3 linked regions of the Nothobranchius furzeri genome follow. The protein of the gene in region 2 interacts with the protein of the main gene of each other region in a pairwise test. Links are inferred from orthologs where the notes say so. Each region holds a gene or a part of one and is shown on either strand. Other genes may lie near its edges.

What was found.
Region 1: the proteins of arrdc3a (region 2) and nedd4l interact in binary tests that used the Homo sapiens proteins (3 or more experiments, as listed by UniProt). The link is inferred for Nothobranchius furzeri from reciprocal best matches to the Homo sapiens genes ARRDC3 and NEDD4L.
Region 3: the proteins of arrdc3a (region 2) and tnfaip3 interact in binary tests that used the Homo sapiens proteins (3 or more experiments, as listed by UniProt). The two-hybrid records come from large-scale screens. The link is inferred for Nothobranchius furzeri from reciprocal best matches to the Homo sapiens genes ARRDC3 and TNFAIP3.

What each region holds. Positions count from the first base shown.
Region 1 is NC_091746.1:58,526,022-58,532,034, forward strand, and holds part of nedd4l (E3 ubiquitin-protein ligase NEDD4-like), read left to right. Parts: intron 1-2,046; coding exon 2,047-2,101; intron 2,102-4,828; coding exon 4,829-4,887; intron 4,888-5,026; coding exon 5,027-5,092; intron 5,093-6,013. UniProt on the Homo sapiens protein: E3 ubiquitin-protein ligase that mediates the polyubiquitination of lysine and cysteine residues on target proteins and is thereby implicated in the regulation of various signaling pathways including autophagy, innate immunity or DNA repair.
Region 2 is NC_091757.1:41,570,409-41,576,969, forward strand, and holds the start of arrdc3a (arrestin domain-containing protein 3a), read right to left. Parts: upstream 3,652-6,561; 5' UTR 3,441-3,651; coding exon 3,161-3,440; intron 1,805-3,160; exon of another isoform or gene 1,777-1,804; coding exon of another isoform or gene 1,734-1,776; coding exon 1,652-1,733; intron 1,550-1,651; coding exon 1,402-1,549; intron 1,310-1,401; coding exon 1,207-1,309; intron 1,039-1,206; coding exon 782-1,038; intron 348-781; coding exon 191-347; intron 101-190; coding exon 1-100. Other genes in the region: arsk (arylsulfatase K), read left to right, coding at 5,188-5,289, 5,445-5,574, 5,663-5,822, 6,007-6,289, 6,383-6,554. UniProt on the Homo sapiens protein: Adapter protein that plays a role in regulating cell-surface expression of adrenergic receptors and probably also other G protein-coupled receptors.
Region 3 is NC_091752.1:25,124,222-25,129,279, reverse strand, and holds the end of tnfaip3 (tumor necrosis factor alpha-induced protein 3), read left to right. Parts: intron 1-470; coding exon 471-661; intron 662-910; coding exon 911-1,052; intron 1,053-1,191; coding exon 1,192-1,362; intron 1,363-1,474; coding exon 1,475-1,655; intron 1,656-1,759; coding exon 1,760-2,751; intron 2,752-2,865; coding exon 2,866-3,065; intron 3,066-3,197; coding exon 3,198-3,473; 3' UTR 3,474-3,612; downstream 3,613-5,058. UniProt on the Homo sapiens protein: Ubiquitin-editing enzyme that contains both ubiquitin ligase and deubiquitinase activities.

The sequences.
Region 1 (6,013 bases), on a different chromosome or scaffold from region 2:
CGGAGGAGGAGAGGAGCTTGAAAAACCACCTGCATTGTTTAGGTCACATGTGTGGGAGCATTTTGGCTCAACAAACCGCGAAATTTAACACTCCAGTGTGACGCGTTTGATCCGTCACACCACTACTGACTTGAAAGCACAACTTTTCCTCTTTCAAAAACAGTTTTTTTTTGTTTTCCTTTATTTTTTTCTGATGGTGCAATCTGCTGTGGCGTTTTGATAATTAAAATGTGTCTGTGTTCAGTTTTATTGCAGGGTCTTTATGAGAAAAGTCCAATTCTTATCTTTAGTTTTCATCCTTGCATTAGAGTTAGGGCTGCGCGATATGGCCCTAAATCAATATCACAGTATATTGAGGAATTTGCCTCGATAACGATTAATGGAGGAAAACATCATGTATGCGCAGAAACAACAGTTGTCCACTAGATGGGGCTGTCACTTATGCTGAGTTACGTTGTCATGTCACTCGATGTGGTACAGCTTTTTAAAGGGACATGAACGTCACCAACCTACACACATCTTTTCATGTTTTTTATTATCAACTTTACTGACATGTAAAAAATGGTACCAGTCAGAAATGTAGATAACAAAAAAGTTTCGATTTTCGCCCAGCCTTAGTTAGTGACAGCTAAAATGTAACTTTCAGCCAAAGGTTTCTGTACATTGTGAAAGTTGGTTTGAAGAAAATCATAAATCTAGATTTAAGTCTCTTCCTAAAATCATTTAGCCCCGGTGTTGAGTGTAAAACGCTGTGCTGCCGACAGGTCTGGCCTTGTTTTAATTAGCGTAACATCTGTGAGCGTTGGGGTTAGTGTCTGCGCTGATTAGGTAAGCAGCATCCTTCTAGTAGAATCTTTACAAGTAGGCCGAATATCCCTGCAGCTAGATCTTTAACAATAACCATTTCCTGAGTTTGTACATCTCACAGCTTGTGTGTTGTGTGTGCATGTGTGTGTGATGTTTTTCCTTCTTTCTCATTTTTCTTCATTCTGATGGATCTAATGTACGCCACTTCTACACCTGGCCATGTCTGTTTGGCAGCACCTACTAGAGGAGGTTGGTTGGTACCTCCTTCCCTCCCTATGCCTGCCCTCCTGCCTGTCTGATCCAGTCTGGTCAAGTGCCTGCAGACAGCCTTGCATATTTAAAATGTTTTATTTTTTTTACTTTCTTTCTCCTTTTCTTCTCTTTCCCTGTCATGACCGGCATGAATGGATTGTATCTCTTCCCTACTTTCTGTGTCCCCCCCCCCCTCTTTTTGTTTCTGCGAGCGCCACCCCTGCACCACTAGTACATCTCCTGTTTATGATGAATATTTCAGAGCTCTGAACCGTTCTCTTGGGATTCCTCATATTTCTCCATGTTCGTGTAACTGTGTAGCATCTGAGGCACAGCCAGACAATTTGGCACAGTGGAACAACGTGAAATCCTCTGGGCATTTGTTGGAGGGAGAAATGCACCTAAAAAGATGGAAGAGGGAAATGAGCCAAACGTGTTGGAGGAAGGAACCTGTGTCCTGCATATCTTAGCTTATTTTTAGTCCACACACTCGCAGCAGCAGCGTACCAATGTTGCTGTAGCAAAACTTCGCACAACTTAAAATGGGCAGGTTTTATTCTTCTCTCCACCCTTTTGCTCATGATTTATTGTTATTGTTTGATTGCCTACGAGCATACGAATGTGCGTGGCCTGTTACAGTGTACCGAGTGGTCACCCTGGTGTTGGTGGTGTCACACTGGGTTGTACCAGTGGTGACTGACTTTTATGTTGTGGTCATACCCCTGCCTTGCTGATGTGTTAGACCCGACTCAAATAGAGCAGGGAATCCTTTTATTTCCTTTTTCTGTGTTCGATTGAGCTTGCCTCACCTCTTTGTGCTGGGATGTCTTTGTTCTGACTGTGGAATGGTCGACCAAGTTCAATTAAACACCATTCAGAAAGGAAACGGAAACGGCTGGATTTAAGTTACTATTTGAGCACAACATGTAAAGAAGATGCAGCAAGAGGTTTTCCCTCATTAGGTTTTGCTTTTTGTTTGTTTTTCAGCCTGGATGGGAAGAAAGAGTTCACACAGACGGGCGCACCTTTTACATCGACCACAGTAAGATAACCGTCTACCTTTTCCACACTTCTGCATTTTTCTGCTTTTAGTTTTTGCTTCGTCTCAGCCCCTTAAAGGGATAATGCTCCCCTTTTGGAAAACTCATAAACTAAGTTTAAATGCAGATTAGATTAAAGTCTGTCACCATAAAACCGAGCTCCAAAATGCTCTTGTGGTTCATTCAAACATTGTTTTGATATTTGACACCGCTCCCAGCTTCAACCAGTGGGTGTGGTACTTTCAGTGCAAACAGTCTGACAGAAACTCTTTATTAAAGCGACACTGGGCAGGCGGTGTTGGCTTCATTTAACATCCCCTAGTGTCCGTTTCTGGGGCGAGATGATTATTTATAAAAAATATTTCGGGAAAATGCTAAAATGGGAAGACAGGGTGAAATTGGTTAAAAACAGGAGTTTCCCAGCCCAAATGGGAGACAGCTATGGTTCTGGGGTGTAAACTTGGATTGCCGTAAAGCAGTACTGCTTCTCACGAGATAAGTGGCTTTGCGAGACTTCAGGTGACCAATCAGGAGAGACTCGAGTTGCAAATGTGAAATTCTGCCTTCAAGGAGTGGAGGGGACTGAGAGACTGTTCAATTGTCATTTCACGTGCTGTCCTAACCGTACATAGCTACAAGTAGCTAGAAGGCTAGCAAACAAGTTTTTTTAAACTAATGGTCTTAATAAATGATTTTTCACTATAGCTACAATATACAAATAAGAAAAATGCATTACTAAAACACACATCTTAGCACCACACTTAGCAATTAGCCTAATTTAGCACATGTTTGCTGGAAATATTTCATGAACTAATTAACTAACACACATCCGAACATTCCCTAATCTCATCAGTAGTTACAAAGACGAATAAACGATCTTATAAATCACATTCAACGTGTTCATGAGTCGTTTACTTTCTTTTCTGACTAAATGTCAACAACGTAAAGAGAGTTGACAGTGCTCACTCGCGTTTTAGACAATATAACAAAGATGGTTTATAGAGATGTCTCACGTTGATCCGTTCTCTAAACTTGAAACTTTAACTTGTTTAGAACAAATTTATTTGTACTATTTATGAACTTATTTTAGGGATACACGTTTTTCAAAATTTCTTTAAGCAGTTATTGGCGCCCGTTAACGGTTAATAGCCGGTTAACCCAAGCACAGCAGAAGGGACTTGTAGCAGTCATCCGGGCAAAACTGTTTTACCCGGTTAAACCATAAATGGCAATTACCCAGTTAACTATGTACATCCCTAACTTATTTATCTAACTTTTCTCATCATGAACTTGATAATCATCTTTGTCCAAAACGTAGTAACTTACAAAGGGCATCACAGAGCGTTTGCCAGGATTATCACAGGGAGAACGGGATTCAGCTGCTGTTAGAGACAAATTAATGTGACACTTTTTTTTTCCTATTGACTTACTTAAAATAAAGTAGTTATTTTTCCTCAAATAATGTTTAAAATGTAAGCATGCTTGATGGGAGAAATGTAATGTTAGCACCCTAAATAATTTATTTTTTCTTTATTTGTCAGGGGGACCCCGCATATATCGATATCATAAGATATAATAAGAGTTGGGCAATATTGATATGCCGGTTATTGATAAAAATGCCAATATCGAACATTCCTAGGAATGGCTGGTTTTGTTTTGTTGTGTGTTCTTTAAGCTGTTATAAAAATTTAAAAGACCTTGTTCAAAAAGTATGACACAGTTACTTAGTGTACCTTTAATTCAGCCAAAACAACCTTGCAATTCGAAACTGTTGACGGTGTGAAAATAATATTCATATGAACCATTAGGACATTTTGGAGGTAGGAGCTGTTTTAGAGCAGGAGCGCTACAGTTTGGGCTTGACTGCGCTCTACCAGACTGTCAGTCCTGTTGAACACTGTTTCTTCAAACTGAGGCTGTTCATAAAGTTTTTACAATAGGTAAGATACACATGTATGGCTTTTGACACAGAAACAGATTTAAATGTCTGATATTTTATCTTAAATCTTATTAAATCAGAAGTCCTGAACTAGAGCGCCTTTCCCCCCAATTAAACAAAATATTAGTGATGCACCGAAACACTCGTCTGGTGATTGGTGTTGACCAATATTCAGCATGTCCAGATCACCGCTTTAATGCTTGAAATATAAAATAACAATGATTATAATCAAATGTAGTTTTAAATGGGCTAACGTTGATATAACAATCTGTAATTATGTAACTAACAAAGAAAAGAAATTGACCTCTGGCGCTTGTGGATGATCCACTAGAGGACAGTAGGACTGGTATAGCAGGTTTGAGGGTTAGCTGGTGATCGGCCAATCACAACCATCAGTTGTTCTGGGAGCTGTTGGTCCTTGTTACCACAAAGCTAAAGAACAAAAAGTCATATTTGTCCTGCTGAACCAGAATTTTCCCATTGCTAAATGCTAACTCCTTCTAGTGAACCCCGTGGTTTAGATTCAGCTTTAATTATAGTCTCATATGTTGGTTTTATGGCACATCTGTGAGTGCAACACTTCCTCTCTTGCTGGTTTGTTTACTTTAGACCTCTGAACCTTTTCTATTGATAGCATTGACATTTTAGCTTGTTTAAAAATCCTAACCTTTAATTTAACTCCTAAAGGCAAAGCAACAAGACATTGTTTGAAATGTAAAACAGCTTTTTGTGTTCCTGTTCAAATGAAAGTAGAAGAATTAGGCCGCTGAAATGAATTTATCTCGCGCAGATACCAAGACCACGCAGTGGGAGGACCCCCGCTTACAGAGTCCAGCTATCACAGGACCTGTGAGTAGTTCCCTCTCAGATACATGAATCCCCACATGTAGCCGTGAAGTTTTAATCTGATTCATAATCATCACTTTAACATCAGCAGCTGTCATCTGATTATGACCACACGCCTCCTCCCCTCTGTGTGTTTGTGCAGGCTGTTCCCTACTCCAGAGAGTTCAAGCAGAAATACGACTACTTCAGGAAGAAATTAAAGAAACCGGTAAGAAGTGGTTTCTTCTATGGCATCTTGGATGGAACTGGAATTAGATGCTTTTAAATGAAATTTTATATACGTGTAAGGTCAGTTATGTACAATATTCTGGATTAATGTTTGTGATAAACCAAACACTTATTGTTTAAAAAAAATGTTAGTTTGATTTGGCACATTTAGTTAAAGTTAAAGTCCCATTAGTTGTCACACACTGGTGACATTATTTCTCTGCATTTGACCCATCCCCGTGGGGAGCAGTGAGCTGCAGCGGTGGCTGCGTTCGGGAACTATTTGGTGGTTTAACCCCCCAATCCAAAATCTCAATGCTGAGGGAGGAATTGGGTCCCATTTTTAAAGTCTTTGGTATGACCCGACTGTGGATTTGAACCCTCAATCTCCCAGTCTCAGGGCAGGTCACAGAGCTAAATCTTATTTTAATAAAAACTGAAAAGAGTTTTCAATATTTAGACTGAACCATTTTCAGTTTACTAGAACTATCTATTTTAATTGTCTTGCGCTTCTTTCTTTTGTCAAAGAATCATAAAAAAATGTTTGTATAGTAACTTTTCAGAAAGGACATTGATGATTTATTTTAGTAAAATTTAGACTCAGTAGTTTGTGCTTTGTACCTTCTTTTCCTTGTTTCCTCGTTATTGTTGTTCTAAAGTTTTATTTTGTTTGTGTAAAATGGTAAATGGCCTGTATTTGATACTCTATAGCACTTTCTAGAGTCCTGGAACCCCCCAAGGTGCTTTACAACACAATCTGTCATTCACCCATTCACACACACATTCACACACTGGTGGGGATGAGCTATAATGTAGCCACAGCTGACACTGACAAAGGCAAGGCTGCTGAATAGTGATGCACTGATATGAAAATTTTGGGCCGATACTGATATTAAGATCACTGTCATGGCCAATAACCGAT
Region 2 (6,561 bases):
TAGGCACATAGCGGACCCTCCAGCTCCTCTCGGACTGCAGGACCATCCAGCCTGCACTGCCTCTGCTCTTCTGTCACTATCTCCGCGTAGCTCGGAGGAGCTGCAGGAGAAGAAATCACATTTTAGCATTTCTTGAAAATTACGATCAAATTTGTGTAAATTGGGGAAAAAAAACATTTGCTTTAACTACCTTCAGGTCTCTCTGGCAGACCCATGCCCAGCCAGCTCACGCTGCACTGGCTGCTGACGCTTGATGTGCGGGAGCCAAATGGGTGAAGAGGGATGGTTCCGATAACCAGGGGCAGGTTCAGGGACAAGTTTATTGCCCCTGGTATGTCGACATATACCTGAGCACAAACACGAGGACATGACAGCAATTTAGATCTTGAAAATGGGAGTTTACAGAGCTGTGCATTCCAATCTGCAAACCAATATTTAGGTAAACTGGTCATGTGGGTCAGTGTGTTCAAATCAGTTATCTGTCTATGTGAAGGGTAAAGAGGTTATTAGTACCCTCAGGGCAGGTGTTGCCTCCATTATTCTGGGCTAATGCGCTTAGCAGCATGCGGACATAACACCTGGTACAATCCCAGGTCCAGATTTGGTTATGCAAGCCGAGTCAGCCAGGCACCTTTACCGGGATATTGGCTTACAAGGAAATATTGATTCTGATGAAAGCAGAAACCCTTGTATGCCCGTCGTCTCAAAACAAATACAAACAACAAAAACGGGCACCTGACCTAAATGTTCATCGAGTGTGTGAGAGAAAGACCAAACTCACCATGAGGGAGTACTCCACTCTGATGATGCTGCAGTCCAGGATTGAGGGGGACACAGGTGGGATCTTCAGCATTTTGCCATTCCAGGTCTCCGTTTTGCCAGAGGACAAGGACTCCCCCCGCAGGTTGGCCACCAGTTGCTTGACCTCCTTCACCTTTCCTTTGGCATAGAAGGTCTGTGTCTGGTAGATGGCCGCCTTTGGCACCACCACGCGGGACGAGCAGTTCTCGATCTCGGCAAATATCTGGATAGACTCGCCTACACAAATATAAGACATAATGGAAGTTAATATTTTTCTCTAGTGATAGGAACCCTAATTATGAGTAATCAGTAACAAGTAGAGAATCCTGCAGAATGTGATCATCCCATTGGCTCATCTGGTAAACAGATGAGTAACAACCTTATCGTTTATTCACTTATCCTCACCTGGGGTGTATCCCTTCCTTTCAATTTTGGCACTTAGGGAAATTGGACCTGAGGTGCAGAACCAACAGCAAAGCGTCTTGTCTGCTGTGCCGGCCTGAGGCGACTGAAAAAGTAGAGAAAAAACATCTTATAAACATTTTTTCTTAGTTTACAAACATAAAAGCTATGCATTTCATCATTCCTATGACTTCTTACCAGCAATAACGGAGTGTTGATGTCAATGTGCTCAAAGACTGTAAATTCCTTCTTAGTCTTCATGGGCAGGAGCCATGGCCTGTGGAGCTCTGCCTTCACCCAGTAGCGCACACTGCCATGTTTTCCTTCAAAAGAGGTAGCCAGAGGTCTGCAGGTGACGGTAAAAGAAGGGCAGAAAGGAGAAAAACGGTCAAGTTCTCAAATCTAAATAACTTTTTCTCTGATTCTAGTTTCGTATTGGGACACCTACGTCTGTGGAAGCTCGAGGCTGAATGCATACTCATGCCTTCCTGCATGGATTGTAGTGAGTCCTTCCTCCGAGTTGTCATCGTCTGAAAAACAAGGAGGACAATATTCCAAACACATGTATACCATACCTGGACAAAATGCTCTACGAAGGCATCTGTAAGTCATATCAAAGAACACAGGGTGGGGGAGACAAAAAGAGAATAAACGGGTTTTACAATTGATCTTGTCTGTTAGAAATTAAGTGTATTGAGATTTTAAAAAACAGCAGAGTAAAATTTGGAGAAATCAGAAACTGAACGTGAGTGATGCTAATGCACAAGTAATTTTATGGGGCAAAGCGAAGCGATGCCTTCTCACTTATTTTGGGGGGGGAATTATGAATTTTTTATTTAATATTGCTCATTTTACATGAAAAGGTAAATATGTGGCGGATAAGGACGTGTGCGCAGCCCTTGCCAGCTCAGCACACCCTCCCCCTAGCAGAAGCCGTGTGGTAAACAAGTGCGGAGCTGTCAGTCAAGAGACAGACTCCAGCAGGAGAAGACCGGACTAAACCGGTGTGAGCAGCTTCCCTCGGCATTACGTATTCACTCCGCGACGCCGCAGTCACAACAACCACATACATAAATGCGTCTGACAAGCTCTGTGGTCCCGTAAGACTAAAGGAGCTGCTACCCACTTATTTAAACACGTGTTCCCAACGCTAATAAATATTAAATCGTTCAGCGACAATATCACCACGTCTCGGACATGTTAGCTTAACATAATCCATGCTAACAGACCTAACCGAATACATGCAAATAAAAGCTTTACTGCATTCACTGGTATAAGAAAAAAAAAACTCTTGATTTTAATTAAAAATTAAGAGCAAAGAAATCTCAAATGTCCAGCACATCCTGGTTGCAACTCACAATTCCTTAAAATTTACAGTAAAACCACCAATTTTCGTGTCCTGCAGGTGTTTTACATTGATTAAAAAGTTGCAGTTTTTTCTGCCACTCTGCAGGGGAATGATGTCATTGGCCACACACTAGCATCTTAACCAATCACACACGAGCCAGGGTGCGCTCTGGCTTTCCCCCCGCCCCCTCGCAAACCAGTTTTCGGAACAGGATTGAACCGCTTTGAACAATAGGTGGAAACTTCATCGTTGTTTAGCGATGAAATTTCTAAACAAAGCTTCATAGCTATAAAATACAGAATCAACTCAATTCCAATATGTATTTAAATGAGATAAATCCTCCCTATGCGCCTCAAATGCCATGAAAAACACAAGATACGTGAGCAGCTGTCATTCATTCTGACCACAAAAACAAGCAACGATGGAGATTTTAAAAGACAACTAAATACCCACCGAACATCTCGTCTGAAATAAGGCAATAAAGTGACAGGTCTTTATTTAGTCTTTAATCGAACCAATTATCCTGTTATTGAGCCCTGCAACTCTATATCTTTCAGCGAACCTGATCCCCAACCAGGGGAGCATCACAATTTCTACAAAACTTCTTACCTCTTTCATGTCCAATTAAAATATCTTTGTAGTTCAGGTATTCCACTTCTTCTGTGTAGTTCTGGGTGTAGGCAGTGTTGGATCCAGCGTTTCTTGACTCAGTCCAACGAACTTTTGCTATTCCTTTTGCGTGGATTTTGAGAGATTTCACCCGGATTTCTCCGGTGACTTCGACGATCACCCTCCCTGAGACGGAGTCCCCGCTGGAGAAGACGGGGACGTTGCTGTCATTAAAACAGTCGTAGCTCACTATGAAGCTCTTTACCTTTCCTAGCACCATGGCGGAAAGAGATCTTCTCGAGCTCTAAAAAAAGGAGTTAATGAAAAAATAATCTCATAAGAAAAACGGGGTTGGAGACACTGATCAGTATCTCTGCCCTGCAAGAAGCAGCGGGCACGATCAGTGGCTTCTTTGTGAGCAGTTCATTGAGCTTTGTGAAGGCTGATAACCAGCAATGGATGCTGTTATCATCTGCCTGTCTCCTTGATGGTCTCAGTCACAGACAAGGAAACCCCCGGAGCTCAGCTCACTTTAAACCAGAAGCTGTGTGAAAAACAACCTTCTGCGCCTGCGCGTGGCTGCACAGCCCCCACCTTCTCGCCTTCTGGAACAAGGCAGGCAGAGCAGTGTGAGGCAAAGCTCACATTCATCCAGCCGCCCTGCAAGTATGGTAAAAGCACCTGAAACACCGCATAAAGAAATATTTGCAATAGTCCTGGGTGAGGCTTTTGGGGCGAATTGTAACATTAAAAATATCAATTATCAATATAATAATAAGATTTAGTCCAGTCTGTACATAGTCCACCTCAATATTTGAGTAAGTATTTTTTAAAATCACACAAAACGTGTGAATTTTGTTTTTATTTTGGAGCCACAGCCTGCAGGCTTATTGTGAACACTTTACACAACGCTTTTACATAATCAGAGCAATGTCATTGTAAAATCCAAAGAGCTGCATTTTGCATGATGCACACGGCATAGGGCTGTTCAGAGTAGATGTATAGAACATGCATATTAATTATAAAACTAAAAACAGATCATCTGTGGTTGTAACTCATATACCTGACCCATTTTGATTGTTATTTAACTGATTCTGATCCGTGTATGTTGAGAAGACTCTTTCTCATTGTGTTGAGCTCCCAGTTTTCAGAAAAACAACTCGTGACTCAAAACGCCACCTAGTGGCAACCAATGTTCCCACTATGGGCTGCAGCAGAATCACCTGTTGATCTGCAACAATACCAATGTTCTTTACTTTTAATCAGCCAGTATGGGGATGCTGCCCGAAAGGTAATCAGGCATTATTGTCCTGACGGGGATTTTTTATTTTATAATTTAGTATTAACAAATGCCATTTACCTCCAATTAAATCCAATAAACTTCATAGATTCCCTGACACACCATATGTAATGCCATTTAGTGCATTCATTAATGTTTTTTTCCCATATTACATAAAACACATCTGGAAAGCTGTTTACTTTATCTATACAAAGGACACATTGACATGCACCTTAAACGTTAGGATGTCAATAGATACAGGTGGGATGACTGCAGTGCCAGCTCAGCAAAATATTAAAAAAATAAATAAAAAAACAAACGTTTAATGCCTAGTTGCATGCTGCCCTCTAGTGTCCACTTTGCCGCTGAATTAAAAAGATGGGACACTCTTCTAGCAATGTTTATAATTTATTAATTCGTGGTACTATACTTTTATGCATGAATTGGTTAATGAACGATGGATTTTGTTTGAGTTTTATTTTATTTCAGTTCCTTCTAAATATCAGTTTCATTCTTTGTCCCCATGGACACGAAACAACCCCCCCACCCCCCCTTTTTTTATAGTATACTTTTATTTTGAAATCATGACCAGGAAGTAAATACAATACCTCCCACCGACAGCGCGGTAGTAAAAATAAATTATTTAAAAAAGAAAAAAGACAACACGTTAGGGTAAAACCCGTGAAAAGCCTCAGTTTGGGAATTTTTTTCTTTACTTTTAGATATCTGTTGGAGTTCCGAGGAAAACATGAGCATCTTTATGTTGGTGTTTATTTTCGTCCTCCAAATTTTTTGTGACAGCCAAAATATTTCCAGACCAAATATCGTTTTGGTGATGAGTGACGCATTGGCAAGTAGAATCACATCTTTATTTCTTGACGTATCCTCCAGTGACTGAATCAGAGTGGCAGGATCTAAAATTGAGATGGTTAACAGTGTGTGTGTGTGTGTGTGTGTGTGTGTGTGTGTGTGTGTGTGTGTGTGTGTGTGTGTGTGTGTGTGAAGGATGGCCGATTGTCCGTTGATCCTGGCAGTAGACTTGTACATCTTCCATACATTAACTACCTCAGGGAGCTCGGCTCAACCTTCCTCAACGCTTACACAAACTCCCCAATCTGCTGCCCCTCAAGAGCTGGTAGTTTTCTCAAAGTGCGTTTGAAATGCCCTCTTTTGATTGTAATGTAAAAGTCACTGTTTGCATTGTATATCAACATTTTTCCCAGCTATGTGGAGTGGTCAGTTTGTCCACCTGACTAAGTCTTGGAACAACTACAAATGCTTAGATGCGAATGCAACCACATGGATGGATTTGCTGGAGAAGAATGGATATCGCACCAAGATGATGGGCAAGCAGGATTACACCTCAGGGGGTCACTCCGTCAGGTGAAAGTTGTTTCAGTGATGATGGCAATTATTTTTGTTAATGTGAATATCCTGGAAATAAATAACTTTAATTTATAATTCAACTAAAACCAGTTTTGCACCTATATCCACAACATTGATTGAACTGCTTCTGGCATACGTTTCACATTTCTTTGAACTTCCCATTTCTGTGCATCTGTTGCAGTAACCGGGTCGAGGCATGGACACGAGATGTTCAGTTCCTGCTGCGCCAAGAGGGCCGGCCTGTTTCTCAGCTAGTTGGGGACATGTCAACTGTAAGGATTATGACACAAGACTGGAAAAACACAGATAAAGCTGCACAGTGGATCCGTCAGACAGCTGCAGTATCGCACAAACCCTTCGCTCTTTATCTCGGCCTCAATTTACCTCATCCCTATCGAACGGACTCCCTCGGGCCTAACGCTGGAGGCTCCACATTCAAGAGTTCACCATACTGGCTCACAAAAGTATACCTTTGTCTGATTTATTTTACATATAATCTTGAAAATCCTTTAAGTGAGTCACTTAAGCAGTGGCAATCTGTTTTTCCACACACATAGGTGTCTTCTGAGCTTGTGTCTGTTCCTAAATGGTTACCAATGGCTAACATGCACCCTGTTGATTACTACTCCACCTTTACCAAAAACTGCAGTGGAGATTTCACAGAGGAGGAAGTCAAAAGCATCAGAGCCTTCTATTATGCCATGTGTGCCGAAGCAGATGCTATGCTAGGTCAGTT
Region 3 (5,058 bases), on a different chromosome or scaffold from region 2:
AAAGAGACCCAGCACTGCCAAAAAGAGGCAAAATAAAATTCCAAGCCTTTAGTTGCTTTTGAGCGGCTCTTTATCTTCTTTTCTGTGCGGTTAGAGAAACTACAAAAAGTCTTTCTTTGATGCTAAACACAAATAATCTCATTAAATTCTTAATATAAACAAATTGTCCCAGTTCTTTCAGGTGAAGCTTGCATGTGTATAGATGAAGAAGGTGTGTGCTTTTAGATAAAATGACGATATGTAATAATCAGGCCCGATAGCGTGACAATTGGCCGAGCAGCTTGGAAATCCCCAGACTTTAGTTACACATTAGCGCACACGCACACACACACACACACACACACACACACACACACACACACACACACACACACACACAGCGGCCGTCCGTGCGTTTGCACAATTTTAGGACTTTCTCAATTATAAACAGATCTCAAGTTTGTTTTCTTCCTTCCTCTGTGTGTCTGCAGGAGATGGGAACTGTTTGCTCCACGCAGCATCCCAGTACATGCTCGGTGTCCAGGATACGGACCTGGTGCTTCGCAAGACTCTCCACGGTGTTCTGAAAGAGACAGACACTGCTCTATTTAAAGCTCGATTCCAGGCAGAGCTGCTGCAGTCTCAAGAATTCACCCAGACTGGACTCAGATACACAACCATGGTATAAAAACCTGGCTACGTCCGTGTTTATGGTCACTGATGTTTAGGCAAGGATGCATTCGCTTGAGGAAGCATGTAACTCGTAAATAAATGTCAATGTTTTTCTCTATAGCACATTTTAAAACAGAGTATTGGCTCACACTTCCATTTACGTTGTTTTTCTTTAATCTTTCTTAATCTGTGTGTATGTGTGTGTGTGTGTGTGTGTGTGTGTGTGTGTGTGTGCGTGTGCGTGTGCGTGCTGTCCTAGAACTGGGAGGAGGAATGGGATAAGATTGTAAAGATGGCATCTCCAGTCTCCAGTAGCAACGGCCTCCAGTTTGACTCCCTAGAGGACATTCACATCTTCATCCTGTCCAACATTCTCCGCAGACCCATCATCGTCATTGCAGGTAATCACTTTCAAAGTTCTTTTATTTCCTCTTGCTAGACTTGTAATGATTTCTGCTCTACGAAGGCGTAGAAGTCTCTTTGTTGATGTAAAGGGCTGTTTAGTTGTAAACTTTAGTGTTTTGTTTTGTTGTTCAACAGACCAGGTGGTTAGGAGCATGAAATCTGGCTCCTCCATCTCTCCTCTGAATGTGGGTGGGATTTACCTGCCTCTTCAGTGGAAGTCCACAGACTGCTACAAATATCCACTAGTGCTCGGCTACGACTCTCAGCACTTTGCACCCCTTATCACCATCAAAGACAGCGGTCCAGGTAGGGCACCGAAAGGGAAACCAGCATGGGATAAAGATCTAGTATGTTTGTATTCTTTTATTTATTTTATTTTATTTTTTGTCTAACATCTCGGTTTGAACTGATCGTCCAGAGATTCGAGCAGTTCCACTAATCAACCCGAAACGAGTGGGCTTCGAGGAGCTGAAGGTTCACTTCCTGATGGAGAAGGAGCAGCCGCAGAAAGAGAGGCTTCTCAACGACTACCTGCACATCATAGAGATCCCTGTTATAGGCCTGGGCCATGACACTACGTGGATCATGAAAGCTGCTCGGTATGCAGAGATTATAAACTTGATTGTTGAGAAAGTTTCTTACTTGTTGGCCAGTAATGTGTCTGAGGATCAAAGGGCTAACAGAACATTGTGACTGTCCAAAGGCTGGACGAGGGAAACCTTCCAGAGGACATGAACCTGATGGAGGACTACCTGCAGCTCGTCAACCACGAGTATCAGCGCTGGCAGGAGGACAAGGAGCAGGCGTGGGCCGCCCAGCCGCAGCGCCCACCACCCTTCTCCGTCTCCCAACTGTCCCTCATAGAGATCCGGTGTGCCACGCCACGATGCACCTTCTACGTCTCTGTGGACACTCAGCCTCATTGCCATGAGTGCTTCGAGAAACGACAAGCCACCACCGGAGGACGAGCGAGGATAGAAGGGGTGGTGCAGACGAAGGGAGCAGGTGTACAGGGAGGAGTAGGGGCAATGGGGGGGTCAGAGGCTGAGGTGAGCTCCAGAGGAGCTCGAAACAGCAGTCCCCCATGCTCCTCCTCTGGACGAGGGGTGGTGTTATCCAGCCCCCGCTCTGCCCCGCCCACCGCTCCCAGCCTCAGCCTTTATAGTGAAACTCACGCCATGAAGTGCAAAACACCCGGCTGCCTCTTCACCCTAAGTGTGGAGCACGACGGACTTTGTGAGCGCTGCTTCAACGCCAGACAGAACCACGGACCCCCTGGAGCTGGAACAGCTGCTACAGGACTCCCAGGCACCAACGGAGCACCAGTCGTTCCCCACCCACCCCAAGGCTCCGGCTGGACCCAGTGGGGAGGCCGCGAGACAGAGACGGAGCGGTGCAGCATGTGCAGACAGGAAGCATTCAGGATATTCAATGGTCTGTGCCCACCCTGCATGCAGAGGCAGCAGGCTCCAGAAAGGGGTGAGCCACAGCAGAGCAACCCCAGGACTGAGGCTTCTGCCTGGAGCCAAACCAGAGACGCTGAGCAGCCGTGCCTCACCCTGACCCCGGGACCCACGTCGGCCTGGCAGACCCCTCTGGCCCGGCCTTGTAAAAGATCTGGCTGCCAGTTCTTTGGGACACCAGAGAAATTGGGTTTCTGCACTATTTGCTATGTAGACTATCAGACCAATCATCGTAAGTCCTGAAACAAAATGAACATGTAGACATTTAAAAATAAATACCTTATCAAACTATAAATGTTGATGAATTATCTGGCTTGTTGCTTATGCTTGTGGCTGTTTATTCCAGACTTGACTCCTCCTCCTGCTCCGGTCCAGAACAGACTTGGTTTGGAGGCAGGTTTCCAGAACGCTACACGCTGTCGAGGGTCTGGATGCGGTGCAGTTGGCAAAGCAATGCTGGAGGGCTACTGTGATAAGTGCTACGTCAAAGAGCAGAGTACACGTCTTAACCAAGTGGCACACAGGACGCCACACTCCCCTCCGCTGGTAGGTTCTTGCTCAAACAGCTGATGTCTTTTTTCCTGTTCAGTAGTTTTCTCACAGTACCCCATATCTAATTCTCAGTTGCTGACTAGTCCTTTTTTTCCCCATTTTCTCTCCCTCTTTCTCTATAAAAAGCGCGACCGGGCAGCTAAACCCAGATCTTCACAGCAATCCCAGACCCAGACTCAGTGTCGACGGAGTGGCTGCAGTAACGTGTCCCCGGGTTGCACTGACCTCTGCCCGGAGTGCCACACGCGTGGCCAGGGCCGAGAGGCCGGCAGACGGGCGCAGGCGCCCAAAGAAAAGTCAAAGCAGAGGTGTCGGACACAGGGCTGTGACCACTATGCCAACCAAGAGAAACAGGGCTACTGCAACGAGTGCCACCACTTCAAACAGATTTACCGTGGCTGATCACCCGCGACGCGGAGCGTTAACGACAACTCATTGGTAGCACGCTAGAGCCGCCGCCCTGCAGCGGGCTCCCCATGCCAGTCAATGCACCTCTGATACTAACTAACCAACTAATTAGCTAGTGACTAACTAGTAACCTTATGGCCTGAAAAATCAACCTCCCCCATGTCGAATGTGAAGCGAGAGTGTGTGTGTACATGGGGGGGCTGGTGAGTGTGTGTGTGTGTGTGTGTTTGCATTAGACATGGCCTCCAGAATACCTCTTTGTGCAATTATTATCATCCGATCCGCCGTGTGCTCTTACACGGTTAGAGGTTTGGCGACATGTCAGAGCAACTGACCTAACTCTTGTGTACAGTACGTATTTAGAGGTACGTCAGGAATCGTGCCGGACAAAATGATTGTATATTGGCGTAACAAGAAGCATACGACATTGCTTTATAGACCACAGCCAAGGATTTTTACCCCGTCCGTCTGTATGTCCTAACCCATCTGTGTATCAGTCTGCCTGTCTGTCTAGCATTCGCTCGATCGAGCGAGGGATGCAGTGAGTGTGGCAAGCCCGGGCAGAAAATCTGTGGAAGTAGTCGGCAAAAGTGAGGCGAACTGAGCCAAAGCAAAGCAAGTCAAATGTTTGAAGTTAGATTTGAAACCATATTGTTTAGCTCAGCTGTTCAAAAAGTCTTTTTTTTTTTTTCAATATTTTTTGGTCCTCTAGATATTGAGACTCTCAAACTGTAATTCTTCCCTTCCCTTGGTTCTTAGTGGTTTTTGTGTGTTTTTCTTAAGCTGATTATTTCTCTTTAAGTTAAATGAAATAGCTACATGTGGGAATTCAAAGCAAAACATGTGACCAAACAGAGACCGACAGGGCGGGACCCTGCTAGTTTTGGTGCTACATGTACAGAAACTCGAGCCTCTCCTTTGTAGCCAACATGCTGGCGTCAGAAGGCAGAGAACACAGTGAGGACAGGACTCTTGCCATCACTCCTCCTCTTCCTTTAATTTCCCCTCTTCTCCAAAAACAGATATGTTGCCTTGGACATTATTTTCATGTTTACTTGCAACTTAAGCACCTAGAAACACTTACAAGACAAACAAATGTAGTGTAGCCGGTCCTGTCAGAAGGGAATTAACAAAAGAAAGACCTTATTAGGGAATGGAAGGTGTGTCAGTTTGGATAATTATTCACCTTCTCACCACACACTCGTTTGCTCCTGCAAACACAGCTCTGTGAGATTATATACCCCCACCCGAGCCCGAGGTGACGTGTAGGTAAACAAACCCATAAAGAGTTGCTGTCCTCTACTAAATCCCACTCGAATGTGCCAGGGTGACAGTTTCCAAACTTCAGAGAGCAATCTTGTTGCCTGCTTCGGCAAGTCTTGTTTTATCTGAATGTGCTTTGTGCTGCTTCTGCAGTACTGGGGCTCATCCTGCATACGTTTTGCCTTTAAGTAGTTACAAGCCTTTATGGACCATAGGGGCCTGATCGATGACTCAGATCAGTTCTCCACACCTTTAAAACTCTTGTGAACATGGAACTTAGTTTTTACCGTAGTACCTTTGAACCCGATGCCTCATC